3 linked regions of the Xenopus tropicalis genome follow. The protein of the gene in region 2 interacts with the protein of the main gene of each other region in a biochemical or structural test. Links are inferred from orthologs where the notes say so. Each region holds a gene or a part of one and is shown on either strand. Other genes may lie near its edges.

Region 1 (4,841 bases), on a different chromosome or scaffold from region 2:
AAGACCCCTTTGTTACCTTAATTCAGGAACGGTCGGTGCGATACAGAAACGCTCGACCATGCACTCCCCCCCCCCCCTTTGGCATTACCCTAGCCGAGAAACTGCATTTGTCTTTAAATAAACGAAAGCAAAAGAGAAAGGATTGCATTATTAAAGAAAAAGGAACCAACAACCTGCAACTTGCAGTATCTACATTACAATCCCGAGCATGTATGGATAGCCTGGAGGTCTTTTAGTATCACAAACTATATATTAAAAAAAAAAAAACTGCTAAACCTCAAGGGAAAAGCTGTGAAAGTTACAACACTTCCTATTCGGAAAGGGGGAGGGTGAAACCTGTTGAAGAGGTAAATTCCCTGTTAAATTAAATTACCATGGCATATAGCAATGAAAGCATACATATTAGGAATTAGTTTTTATCCATAAGGAGACATCTAGGCTTGTTGAAATGGCAAATCAAGTTAGTTGCTAGTAATATTTAGAGTGAAGACACACAGAGCTACTAGTAGCAGCTACTTGTCACGGCTACTAAAATAGACAATGCTGATCATTTACTGATAATTGTCTCTATGTGTGTTTTAGCAGAGGCAATTCTCAGTATTGTCTATGGCAGGGGATTTTCTGGAGTTTAATAGCCATGAGAAAGTAGCTGCTACTAGTAGCTTAGTGTGTCTTCACCCTTATACAGGACCCAAACAGTTCTGTTTAACCTGTCCAAACTGAGGCTGAGATTCATGTTGAGACCAGACAGAATGGTCACTTATCTACCAGCTAACTGTACTGCCCAGACTTCAATCTACCTAGAAGGAAGTATTCAAGGGATTCCAGGGCACCTGAAAATAATGCCCTGGGGGTGCAGGACATTGCACGGGCACAGACTGGATGTCTAACATGACAGAATATTAATATGAAGTTATGTATTGTGCTTCCTATAGTGCCCCAGGGAACTAGGGAAGGTGCCAGTTTGTGGCCATAGGATACAGTGCATTAGCTTGATGGAGGCAGCTCCCAGTGCGGGCAGCCATGTTGTTTCCCACGTATGCGATTCACCCTCCTATGTCACAAGCATGCGCATAATGAGCGAGTTGTGGCAGGTACTTGGGGAGCTCGCTCCTGGTGAGGGCAGTCTAGTGCTGCCGGGGGCTTAAAAAAAAAAAAAAAAAAAAAAAAAAAAAAACTACTGTTTCCCCTAAACTGAGTAAAGATGGCCATACGCTGGCTGATTTCAGCTGCCAATATATCAGTCCTTTAGATCCAATGTGCCTGTGTATGGGCACCAACAATCTCCCTGTTTATCTGCCTGTGTATGGGCACCAACAATCTCCCTGTTTATCTGCCTGTGTATGGGCACCAACAATCTCCCTGTTTATCTGACTGTGTATGGGCACCAACAATCTCCCTGTTTATCTGCCTGTGTATGGGCACCAACAATCTCCCTGTTTATCTGACTGTGTATGGGCACCAACAATCTCCCTGTTTATCTGACTGTGTATGGGCACCAACAATCTCCCTGTTTATCTGCCTGTGTATGGGCACCAACAATCTCCCTGTTTATCTGCCTGTGTATGGGCGCTAACAATCTCCCTGTTTAGCTGCCTGTGTATGGGCGCTAACAATCTCCCTGTTTATCTGCCTGTGTATGGGCGCCAACAATCTCCCTGTTTATCTGCCTGTGTATGGGCGCCAACAATCTCCCTGTTTATCTGCCTGTGTATGGGCGCCAACAATCTACCTGTTTATCTGCCTGTGTATGGGCGCCAACAATCTCCCTGTTTATCTGCCTGTGTATGGGCACCGACAATCTCCCTGTTTATCTGCCCGTGTATGGGCGCTAACAATCTCCCTGTTTATCTGCCTGTGTATGGGCGCTAACAATCTCCCTTTTTATCTGCCTGTGTATGGGCACCAACAATCTCCCTGTTTATCTGCCTGTGTATGGGCACCAACAATCTCCCTGTTTATCTGCCTGTGTATGGGCGCCAACAATCTCCCTGTTTATCTGCCTGTGTATGGGCACCAGATCTTGATCGGGCAGGTTTGATTCTTCTGTCGGACCGGGGACCTCATTGATGCAGTCACTGCACTAACGGTGCCTATGCCCACTGTTTTAATTTGATAATTTGGCCCTAGGGTGGGCATATCGGGAGGAGATCCACTCTATGGGCGCCCTCGCCAAGCAAGCGTTTCTTACAGTGTAAGGCCACCTTTAGGCCACACTACTGATGGGGAAACAATTAGAAACTGAATGTAGTGCCTTTTTCTCTAGTCCTGACTGCACTATTAATCCCCTGGTTTCTGCTACATTGCTTCAGGAGTCAGTACCAGCAGAGCACATAGAATTTTCATTTGCCTATGTGGCAAAACCCAGTGGAAGTCAGTGACTATTGGGACGTTGCTGAGTAATTCTTCTGCAATAAATCCTGTTTGTGGGCGGTGTTCCCCTTTAAACGTGTGGCCCTGCAGCTGTCAAACATGTCTGATTGCCCGGCATTAGTAAGGGAGAGCCCAGGCAGCCCTCTGCAGCCGCCCAGCCCGGGGGAACAGCAGTGCAGGCAGGGCCGAGTCTTGTCACTGGCGGATTGGGAGCTGTAACACCTAGTGCTTCCCTCCCAGGCCTCCGGGGGCAGCTGATTCCGCGCTACCGGCACAAGCAGGAACCCGGGGCTCCTGACAGGGCAGAGCCGTGCGGAGAGGTGCGAAGGCCCCGCAGCAGCGCTACCCGGGCCAAGGCACCGCCCCACAGTACAGCAGGAACCCCAGAGAAGCCAGTTCCTGGCCGGCGGTGCAACCTGCCCTCAGCAAGCCCTCCCCCCGCTTCCCTGTCCCGCAGCGCCCCGTCACCCAGCTCACCCGAGACCGTGGTGGCCGCCATCTTGCCTTCGCAGTGCTCCTGAGCCGGCCTCCCAGTGACGCCACACAGGGCGGGGAGCTTCAGCCGGCTGTCAGGCAGGGAGTGGGCGGGGAGAAAGGGCTGACTCACACGCACCATAGAGACGGGAAGAGGCGGCGTCAATACGTCATTACGTGCTGCGTCTTGCGTCATAAACGAGACTGACATGCTTCATAAGGGAAATGTATGAATAGGAAAAGTGTAAATGTGTCAAAAATGAGATAGATATAAAAAAAATAAACTAAATGGGCAAATATATGGCCCAGGTATGTACCTATAGCTAGCTTCTGGGAGCAAAATGTTTTTTTAATCTCTAGGCCTTGTCTTCTTATATTGTATAAATATGTTTGTATTTTACACATTACAGTATGATGGTACAGCTTATTGTGTGATTCTAAATATGTCCAACAACTCACTGCAGAGAAAGAGAGGCTCAGGTGCACTGCCCAAGCCTTTAGCTAAGGGAGTGGATATCATGTTTTTTTTGAAAAAAACTCACTGAGCATATCGTGAGGCAGAATTCTTGATTAAAAAGTAACTTCATTGGAGCTGCCATATTGTTTCCTTTAGTACAGTACAGTATGAGGGTACAGCTTATTGTGTGCCCAGAACATTCCTTCTCTGTATATTTGTATTTATACATATGGGAGGGAGGTGCCATAATGTTTCCCTTAGACAGTACAGTATGGGGGTACAGCTTATTGTGTGCCCAGAACATTCCTTCTCTGTATATTTGTATTTATACATATGGGAGGGAGGTGCCATATTGTTTCCCTTAGACAGTACAGTATGAGCGTACAGCTTATTGTGTGCCCAGAACATTCCTTCTCTGTATATTTGTATTTATACATATGGGAGGGAGGTGCCATATTGTTTCCCTTAGACAGTACAGTATGAGGGTACAGCTTATTGTGTGCCCAGAACATTCCTTCTCTGTATATTTGTATTTATACATATGGGAGGGAGGTGCCATATTGTTTCCCTTAGACAGTACAGTATGAGGGTAGAGCTTATTGTGTGCCCAGAACATTCCTTCTCTGTATATTTGTATTTATTCATATGGGAGGGAGGTGCCATATTGTTTCCCTTAGACAGTACAGTATGAGGGTACAGCTTATTGTGTGCCCAGAACATTCCTTCCCTGTATATTTGTATTTATACATATGGGAGGGAGGTGCCATATTGTTTCCCTTAGACAGTACAGTATGAGCGTACAGCTTATTGTGTGCCCAGAACATTCCTTCTCTGTATATTTGTATTTATACATATGGGAGGGAGGTGCCATATTGTTTCCCTTAGACAGTACAGTATGAGGGTACAGCTTATTGTGTGCCCAGAACATTCCTTCTCTGTATATTTGTATTTATACATATGGGAGGGAGGTGCCATATTGTTTCCCTTAGACAGTGCAGTATGGGGGTACAGCTTATTGTGTGCCCAGAACATTCCTTCTCTGTATATTTGTATTTATACATATGGGAGGGAGGTGCCATATTGTTTCCCTTAGACAGTGCAGTATGGGGGTACAGCTTATTGTGTGCCCAGAGCACAATATTTTATATTAAGATTTGTCGTATACATATGAGGAGGTACCATATTGCTTCCCTTAGCACATAATAATCTATACCCTTATACACTGCTGTTTAAGGGAAACAATATGGCAGCTCCAGTCCAAATATATAAATATGAGAGAGAAGGTTCAATGCGCATTATATCATATTCTCTAATCTTACTCTCCATTTGTAGTAGAATAAGCAAGGTTTGCACTATATTTATTTTTTCCAGCAGGGGGCACCAAATTTGCTTGTATCTTCAGCCCTAACAAGCTTTTTCTTCTTCTAATCCCCTTGCACCATAGCTCACTAAAAATAACCACGTTTGAGCACTAAGATCAAGCTGCTGCTGCTATTCACTCCAGAGAAGATGATTTATTGTATTGGTTCTGTGATCT
Region 2 (4,784 bases):
CTATATTCTTAGTGTGGAGGGGCTGAGTCCTTTTATGGTTAGCTTTAGAATGCTGGTAATAAGGGACTTTTGCCAAATTCAATTGCGGTTATCAGGATTTAGATGCTGCTAGAATTTTTAAACCACTATATGGTCAGACACCTTGGCACCAGTATTTTGAATACCCCCTTACTAAATACATTAGTACAGGGCACTAACTTAACCCATATGCTTTAATGTATTCCCTACATGTCTAGGTTTGCCACCTAGACAACAAGAGGTCCTCTGCACTCACCCATTATCAATATATATATATATATATATATATATACTGTATATATATATATAAAGAAGCATAGAGCTGCACACACAGGGTCTTTGAAAAAAATCCGACATTTCGAGCACTAACAGTGCTCTTCTTCAAGGACAAACCACACCGAGCACCGTTAGTGCCAGTCCTACACTCACTTTTATCTGATTCATTAAGAATTCTACTGCTTCAATATACTTTAACAAAGGGCTTGAGTTTTACCTACAACTTAAGCTGGCCATGCACACACCGATATTCAGTGCGTGTATTACGGCTCGAAGAGGCGACCGATATCGCAAAAGGCTGTGGATATCAGTCAAGTTGTCAATCGGCCAGGTTAAAAGATTTTGATCAGGCTCCACTGAAGGCGCCCAAGCAAAATCTACAGGGCTGAATCGCCAGGTGGAGGTAGAATTTCTATTGTTTCTACCTCCATATCTGATGATTCAGCCCTGAACGTCAGTGGAGGGTGGGAATGATCTTTGGTTACATGAAAGATCGGAATTGCTACGTGTATGGCCACCTTTACTTGCTTTCAAGGTTAAAACCCCCCAAAAATTGTTGCCCTTTTATTAACCCATTGGGATCACCTGACTAGACTGTAACTAGAAAGGGTGGGAGCTACAAGATGGAGCTGGCCACTGTTCCTGTATTAACTATAGCAAAAAAAAAGGTTGGGCTTACCACTAAATTTTAAACCATTAGGCAGGGGTACAATGAGGCTGTGACCACAAAATTCATGCAGACAAGAGGTCCTCTGCACTCCCATTATCAATATATATAATATATATATATAGGACATTAAGACATCCTGCGAATTAGACTACCAAGATAAGCCTTCCCCTTTAAGCAAAATAGGGATTGTTTGTCCATAAATGTAATACATTCAAGCTGGCCAACTGCATCAAAGTTATCCCTGGTCTGGCCAGTCCTACACTAACTTTTATCTGATTCATTAAGAATACTACTGCTTCAATATACATTTAACAAAGGGGCTGAGTTTTACATGCAACTTGCTTGCTGTCAAGGTTAAGACATTCTGTGCATTAAACTACCAAGATATGCCCTCCCCTTTAAGCAAAGCAGGGGTTGTTTGTCCATATATTGCAATATACTTAAATTGTGGCTATCAAAATTTAGATACTGCTGGAATTTTTACACCACTATATGGTCAGACACCTTGCCACAAGTATTTTGAATTCCCCCTTACTAAATACATTAGTACAGGGCACCAACTTAACCCACATGCCCTAATGTATTGCCTATATGTATCCCTAAATGAATGTTCTTGCTAGTAAATCTGAAATAGTTTGAAATAGTTTTGTGAACAATTATTACTTTACCAGGCAAACTAACCCCTTACCCTTATTTACAGATTCAGGATTAAAATGTTAATAATTCATAGAAATACATTGATTGAGGTAAGCTACTCTGCTGTCCTACACACTATAAAGCAACAACACTCCCTCTGCTGTATTTCCTACAGAGTTATGGCTACACATCCCATAGTTCCTTGCGGCAAACAAGCCGTGCCTCTCCGGCCTTGCTTGCTTACGTCACAGCCTAGCCATTCCTTCGCCTCCCAGCGCCTCACACAAGCGTTGTTGCTGCTGCAATCGCTGCTTCTAGCTGGGAGACAACGGGAACGATCCAGTTATTGTTCGCTAAAGGAAGAGGCGGAGGCGTAGAAGGAAGTGGTCTCCGAGAGGGGATATTCCCAGCTTTTATTCATTACACGGTCACTGCCTGGGGTAAAGGCAAGGTGCTGCTCTGTTCCGCCCTCAGCGCCCAGCTGGGTTTACAAGGAGGCGAAAGGAATACGGAAAATCGTGTGCGGGGGCCCGGTTGCTATGTAAGTCGTGAGAACCTACATCTACCCCCCCCCCCCCCCCCCCCCCCCCGTTTGTGTAGTTGTAATCTGCCTCGGGTGCGCGCCTCGTAACCCAGTGATCGCCACATTGCTATAAAGCTTTACTGCTGGCAAGGAAAGGGTGCGCTAGACCGGGCATGGCCAACCTGCGGCACTCCAGCCTGTGCTGGGGGGAGTGTTCGTCACTATCCCGGGGGCTGCACACACATACACCCTGCCTGGGGGTGGGGGGCTTTGGGAGCTGCAATTCATCAATAGCTGTTTAGCATCAGGTTGGATTTCGCTGTCATCTTTAACCAACTAAATCAGCATGACACCATCCCAGGCCTAATGTACACATTTGTGCGCTAGTTGTGCAGGGATGTCTGTGGTACATCACGTTTAACGTGGTTTAATTGTGAATCATATCCTCTCAGTTGCATGGGAAGCTCATGTACGTCAATTGCCAATTTCCATGGTAGTGAAAGGAGTTGAGTTTTGGTGGAAATGTTGGTCAGATTGTTCTGGTTGCTGCAACTCTCTCTGTCACTTGGACTTGATCTGAGAGGTTATGGCAATAGAGTCATCTAATTATTATCATTTTATCTTACTCATTGGACCATCTGGCTTACAATATGTAGCAGGAGCGAGGCCTAGTTCTTCATAGGTATCTTTTGTATCTGTATCTTTTGAGTATTGTGCTCTAAATTATTCTGACTAAAGCTGGCCATACACGTGACGATCTGACGATGTTTCGTGCGACCATCGGTCGCACGAAACATCGTCAGATCCACCACACACCATTCAGGGCTGAATCGGCAGGTAAGGAGGTAGAAACAATAGGATTTCTACCTCCTTCTGCCGATTCAGCGCTGAAGGGAGATTTTGGTCAGACGCCTTCTATGGCGCCCGATCAAAATGTTCCAACTGGTCCGATCAGCGAGTCGGACGATATCAGCAGCTTCCTGCAATATCGGTCGACTCGCCGACATACCATACACGCACCAAATATCGCACGAAACGAGGTTTCGTACGATATTATCGGTGCGTGTATGGCCACCTTTAGCCAGAAACACCAACATTGCACCCTCTTTTCTTGCCAATTTGGAGAGAAGATCCTGCAAGTTGCAGTGTTGGATGGGCAGCCGTGCACCCTCTTTAATCTAAATGGCCATGCTTTTATTTGGGTCTGAATACTTTTCTCTTTATTTGAATTTTCAGTTTGACTGATTTAAATCTCAAGACAGCTGGATTAGGTGATTTTAGATTTTACACTAGATGAATTGGACACACTTGGTCTGCAGTGTGCACAAGGCCTTAGTATGAAGATTGCTGTTCTGTTGAGCATTTGCTATGCTAGATTGTGGCATTATTTTCCCTTCCACCTTTGGTGAACCCTCCTTGGGTCTTTATATTTGTTTGGCAGCTGTTGCCCCACGCACACTTCCAACCCACACAGACTGCCTGGTGTTTTTCTGAGACTGCTCAACTCCCAGTCTGTTTCTACAAATACCTTTGGTTGTTTACTTGCTTTGTATGCATATACTCTTTATTAACCGATAGCATTATAGTAGCTTTGTGTAATCTGTTCCACATTTCAAGTTTAATTGTATATGACCACATGACAGAGAACATAATATACATGTCATTGTACCATTTTTGGTAGCATAGGAGTTAATATGTAAGGTTGGACATTACGTTTTATAAGAAAGCTGGTTACTATTGATCCTGTTTTAAATATACAGATATGGCTCGAGGCTGTACTGTTTATCGTTTTGTGGTATCTTCCTTTTTGTAATCAAACACAAGGTCCCTTGTCTTGTCCCATTCATGGAGAATCTTAATTCAGTCTTATTTGGCAGCATTGCTTGTCTCTTGTCATACTGATGCCTTGGGTTTTTTTTCCCCCTTTTTAAGCAATTTCCTGTATGCATTCCACCCAGTCATGTCTTTTTTTCATTTCTTCTTTCCCACTCCCCTTGTTAAAATGAGAGCTTCCTCTCTGTTGTTGGAGCCTTCCTGGGCCAGCTGTGTATTATGGCATGGGAGCAGTTCTGTGAGCTTAGTTCATTGTTCTCTCATACAGTTAATCCTCCAAGCGTATTTGTCTGGGCTCATGTACTCATTCTGTTTGTTATTACTGTGTACATGTTGCACACTTAGAGCTCTGGCACGCGGGGAGATTAGTCGCCCGCGACAAAACTCCCTGTTCGCGGGCGACCAACCCCCCCCCCCCCGAACCTCGCGAGTCTTTTTCGCGATTTCTCGAAATAGCGCCGCCGCGTGTGCCATCCCACCGGCGACTTACATTGTCGCCGGTGGGATGGCAGGTGAAGGCAACTCGGGGAGATTAGGCGCCCACGAACAGGGAGATTTGTCGCGGGCGACTAATCTCCCTGTGTGCCAGAGCCCTAAAGGTGGCCATACACGGGCCGATTCTAGCTGCTGATATCGTCCCTTAGACTGATTCGCCCATGTAGGGGCACCAACGACAGGCCTTGCCTGACTGATATCTGGCCTGAAATTGGACAGATATTGATTGGGCAGGTTAAAAAATTTAGTCAGATCAGGGGACCGCATCGGCTCGCCAAACGACCGAATTAGCCTGAATTCGCCCGATATCACCCACCCATAGTAACTGTACTT
Region 3 (4,622 bases), on a different chromosome or scaffold from region 2:
AATCGCAAAAATAACTTTGAATAAAAGATAGCAACTGATTTGCATTTCATTGAGTGAAATAAGTTTTTGAACCCCTACCAACCATTAAGAGTTCTGGCTCCCACAGAGTGGTTAGACACTTCTACTCAATTAGTCAACCTCATTAAGGACACCTGTCTTAACTAGTCACCTGTATAAAAGACACCTGTCCACAGAATCAATCAAGCAGACTCCAAACTCTCCAACATGGGAAAGACCAAAGAGCTGTCCAAGGATGTCAGAGACAAAATTGTAGACCTGCACAAGGCTGGAATGGGCTACAAAACCATTAGCAAGAAGCTGGGAGAGAAGGTGACAACTGTTGGTGCAATTGTTCGAAAATGGAAGGAGCACAAAATGACCATCAATCGACCTCGCTCTGGGGCTCCACGCAAGATCTCACCTCGTGGGGTGTCAATGATTCTGAGAAAGGTGAAAAAGCATCCTAGAACTACACGGGAGGAGTTAGTTAATGACCTCAAATTAGCAGGGACCACAGTCACCAAGAAAACCATTGGAAACACATTACACCGCAATGGATTAAAATCCTGCATGGCTCGCAAGGTCCCCCTGCTCAAGAAGGCACATGTGCAGGCCCGTCTGAAGTTTGCCAATGAACACCTGAATGATTCTGTGAGTGACTGGGAGAAGGTGCTGTGGTCTGATGAGACCAAAATAGATCTCTTTGGCATTAACTCAACTCGCTGTGTTTGGAGGAAGAAAAATGCTGCCTATGACCCCCAAAACACCGTCCCCACCGTCAAGCATGGGGGTGGAAACATTTTGCTTTGGGGGTGTTTTTCTGCTAAGGGCACAGGACAACTTATTCGCATTAACGGGAAAATGGACGGAGCCATGTATCGTGAAATCCTGAACGACAACCTCCTTCCCTCTGCCAGGAAACTGAAAATGGGTCGTGGATGGGTGTTCCAGCACGACAATGACCCAAAACATACAGTAAAGGCAACAAAGGAGTGGCTCAAGAAGAAGCACATTAAGGTCATGGAGTGGCCTAGTCAGTCTCCGGACCTTAATCCAATAGAAAACCTATGGAGGGAGCTCAAGCTCAGAGTTGCACAGAGACAGCCTCGAAACCTTAGGGATTTAGAGATGATCTGCAAAGAGGAGTGGACCAACATTCCTCCTAAAATGTGCGCAAACTTGGTCATCAATTACAAGAAACGTTTGACCTCTGTGCTTGCAAACAAGGGTTTTTCCACTAAGTATTAAGTCTTTTTTTGTTAGAGGGTTCAAAAACTTATTTCACTCAATGAAATGCAAATCAGTTGCTATCTTTTATTTAAAGTTATTTTTTCGATTTTCCTTTTGATGTGCTATCTGCCACTGTTAAAATAAACCTACCATTGAAATGATACTGTTCTGAGACTTTTCATTTCTTTGTCATTGGACAAACTAACAAAATCAGTGAGGGGTCAAATAATTATTTCCTCCACTGTATGTGCTGAGTATGGAATTTTGCTGCATACCCTACTGCTTCCATTCCACCTTATCTCATTTAAACCTAAGTTGTTCAACTTAAAGCTGCTGAACTGATAAAAAATGTGTCATACATCAACAAAGTAAAAACTGAAAAGGAATCAACTTTCTTGTCCTTTAATGTGGGATCCCACCCGCAACTTGACTAGGCAGAAAGTGGCAAGCATGGTTTTAAAAGGTTTCTGCAACCTAAGGCTGATGCCACACATGGCGTTTTTACGCTGCGTATTTTCTAATTCTCTCGGTGGCTGAAAAACGCACAATGTCATGATCCATAGAAATAACTTGAAAAGACTCGAAGCAAACCACACAATGCGTAAATACGCTAGAAAACGCCTAAACCACGGAATTTTCAAGCGTTTGCCGAAATACGCCAGTATTTGCACAGCAAGCTATTCCTATGTATACTCAAAGGCAGCTGCCAGACCTAGCGGAAATACGCGGCGTTTTTTACTATTTCGCACTATTAGCACCATGGAAACGCAGAAAATACGCAGCGTAAAAACGCCACGTGTGGCATCAGCCTAAGCGTACCAGATTCCCCCCTTCTCCTTTAAATCCTGACTGTACTACATGAGGTGTTGTTCCATAAGTCCACACCTTTTCACACATTGCAAGGGCCCAGCTAAGAGGTTTTTACCGTGACTGTATTCTACTCGATGAGTAGCTGAAGCATTGCTGTAGGCCAAGATAGGGTTAAATTTACATAAGGCATAGACCTATCCTTGTAGCTGAGGACAAAAGACACAGCTCTCTCAAGCTCAACTGCCTGATGCATTCAGTACCATTTAAGCAGGTATTATTCTGCGCCTGTAGGGAGTATACTCACCAGCTATGATAGATACTGTAGCCCTGCCACTCAGGCACTCACAGGTACCCAGCGAGTACAGAAGTACTGAGCACCTAGGCGCTGTAGTGCTGGAGGCAAACGCCACACAGGCTAGTTGCAATGAGTCCTATTACTGCCCTGTAACTTCTAATTTCCTACTTCTTCTAGAACATTTCCGCATCCTCTTTCACTTGCACAACACCAAAAACTCCGGTTACCAGGCATGCCAGAGACTTCTGAGTTGCGGCTATAACACGCGTGCGCAGTAACGCAAAACGCCGCTCTCCTGTTCTAAGTACAGCGAAGTAGTTGCTTTTTCTATCTGCTAGAAACTATGATCAGTACATCCTCCATGGCACTACACTGATGGAGCCACGTTGTTTATTCTGGCACCCATAACCGCATAAATTAATCAGACCTGTAGGCAAAGAATGAATGAAGTTACACACATAACAGCCAGGCAGTTCAGTATAAACTAGTGCAGCCTAGTACGTATCTTATTACTAATGAGAGGGAATAAGCCGTAACACAGCTCAGTGAGAAATTACACGAAGTAGGGCAGGAAGGATAGTGGGTGGAGTTAGAGTTGTGGCGTCCGACAACGGAAGGAGGAAGTGACTGCGCCATGTGGGTGAGCGGCTGAGTGCTGCTAATGTGTTAGGTTACCTGTTGCGGTACAGCGGTTGCTGAGCTGAGGCATGTTAAATGTTCATGTCTAGATATGTTGTTAGCGTACGGATAGCTAGAAAGAGGTCTTATAGTGCTTATTTGTCAGCGTTTGGAGCTGTGTAGGTGGCAAGAGACAGAGCGAAATGGGCGCAAGAAGCACTGTCTGTGGTAGTCTGGCCAAACATACACACAGTGAGCACAAGAAGGAACATATTTATGGAAGGAAAACATACATCTGGCCTTGGCCAGCCAAAAAATAATATAAGACTTTTGTGAGCAATTGGCCAGTGGACAGACATGACTTTTTGAGAGAGAATGTTTGTGTTTATTATAGGGAGCTGCCAGGCACAATTTGTGTGTTCGTCAGTTATCCTCAATTCATCTTTTAGTTTTACAGGAAATCCTTAGTTTCTGGCATGTATTAGGGATTGGAATTAAATATAGAATTATTGGGTAAGGATCCAAAACAGAAAAAAAAATATTCAAGCAGTAAAGGTACACACCACATGTTTTGGGCATAGCCCTATATCAAGTGTGAAGTGAACAATACTATATAGCAGGGATCCCCAACCTTTTTTACTTGTGAGCCACACAAAGCATGATAAAAGTTCTTTGGGGATGTCAAATAAGGGCTATTATTGGCAATTTGGTAGCCCCATGTGGACTACTAGCCTGCTGGATGCTCTGCTTGGAATAAAACTGTGTCTCTGTGCTTCCAGAATTTGCCTCCAAGCCAGAAATGTAAAAATGGGCATCTACTTTGAGGCCACTGGGAGCAACATGTTTTTCACAAGCAACTGGTTGGGGATCACTGCACTGCAGGTATTTAACCTGTACAAGCCCCTCCTCTTGATTCCAATTGGCTTTTAATAGTTGAGTGGAAAAAAGGCCCCAGTGTACAAGGCCTTCAGTGTGAATCGTAGTCTATTACAAATCCAATGTTCATAGTGTCAGTAGTCCGAATACAGTATTTATAGTTGATATACAGTGACGTTACTTAAAGCACATATCACTAGCCATAACCTTAAAAACAGATCCAATGAAATGGCTATGTATTATATAATCAGTACTGATCAACAGTAGAGGCACATGGTGAACATCCACAGTGACTTCTCCTATGAAGTTATCCCCTCCTTGGGGCCGCAGAGGACAATATTCTTGTAAAGTGTACACCTATGACTGTTATTTTTGGAGGTTTTGCACTAATCTTTCCTTTCACCCAGATTTATGTATTATGTACTTTCAGGTTTATAGATTTCTGAAATGGAAACAGAGAGTCTGTCTCCCACTGTTTTTGGTTCTCTCTGCTATGTGAGTGATCATAGAGGATTTTTTGGAACAATAAAAAATTCTTCAGCTGATTTTGTGGTAACAGAAATTGATGTCTCTGGTCAATTAGTTACAGAAGTGCAAGCAAGACATGAAAAATCAACAGAAAAATCCGAAAGAAATGGTGCACAAGACATTATTAGGAAGCAAAGAATAAACCCAAAAGACGCAGAACGTAAAGGGACAACATGTGAATTTACAGAGTTTGCCACTGATATTTCTGGAACTGGTGGAAGTCAGGTGCAGACATCTGATATTGTTGAAGATGATTGTGAACTGG

Evidence for each region.
Region 1: the proteins of peli1 (region 2) and ube2v1 form a complex in vitro, tested with the Homo sapiens proteins (3 studies listed by BioGRID). The link is inferred for Xenopus tropicalis from reciprocal best matches to the Homo sapiens genes PELI1 and UBE2V1.
Region 3: of the proteins of peli1 (region 2) and irak4, one has a biochemical effect on the other in vitro, tested with the Homo sapiens proteins (4 studies listed by BioGRID and IntAct). The link is inferred for Xenopus tropicalis from reciprocal best matches to the Homo sapiens genes PELI1 and IRAK4.

What each region holds. Positions count from the first base shown.
Region 1 is NC_030686.2:36,460,759-36,465,599, forward strand, and holds the start of ube2v1 (ubiquitin-conjugating enzyme E2 variant 1), read right to left. Parts: upstream 2,971-4,841; 5' UTR 2,873-2,970; coding exon 2,851-2,872; intron 1-2,850. UniProt on the Homo sapiens protein: Has no ubiquitin ligase activity on its own. The UBE2V1-UBE2N heterodimer catalyzes the synthesis of non-canonical poly-ubiquitin chains that are linked through Lys-63.
Region 2 is NC_030681.2:32,546,670-32,551,453, forward strand, and holds the start of peli1 (E3 ubiquitin-protein ligase pellino homolog 1), read left to right. Parts: upstream 1-1,864; 5' UTR 1,865-2,141; intron 2,142-4,784. UniProt on the Homo sapiens protein: E3 ubiquitin ligase catalyzing the covalent attachment of ubiquitin moieties onto substrate proteins. Involved in the TLR and IL-1 signaling pathways via interaction with the complex containing IRAK kinases and TRAF6.
Region 3 is NC_030679.2:64,416,812-64,421,433, forward strand, and holds the start of irak4 (interleukin-1 receptor-associated kinase 4), read right to left. Parts: upstream 2,971-4,622; 5' UTR 2,893-2,970; exon of another isoform or gene 2,882-2,892; intron 2,443-2,881; exon of another isoform or gene 2,345-2,442; intron 1-2,344. Other genes in the region: pus7l (pseudouridylate synthase 7 homolog-like protein), read left to right, coding at 4,277-4,622.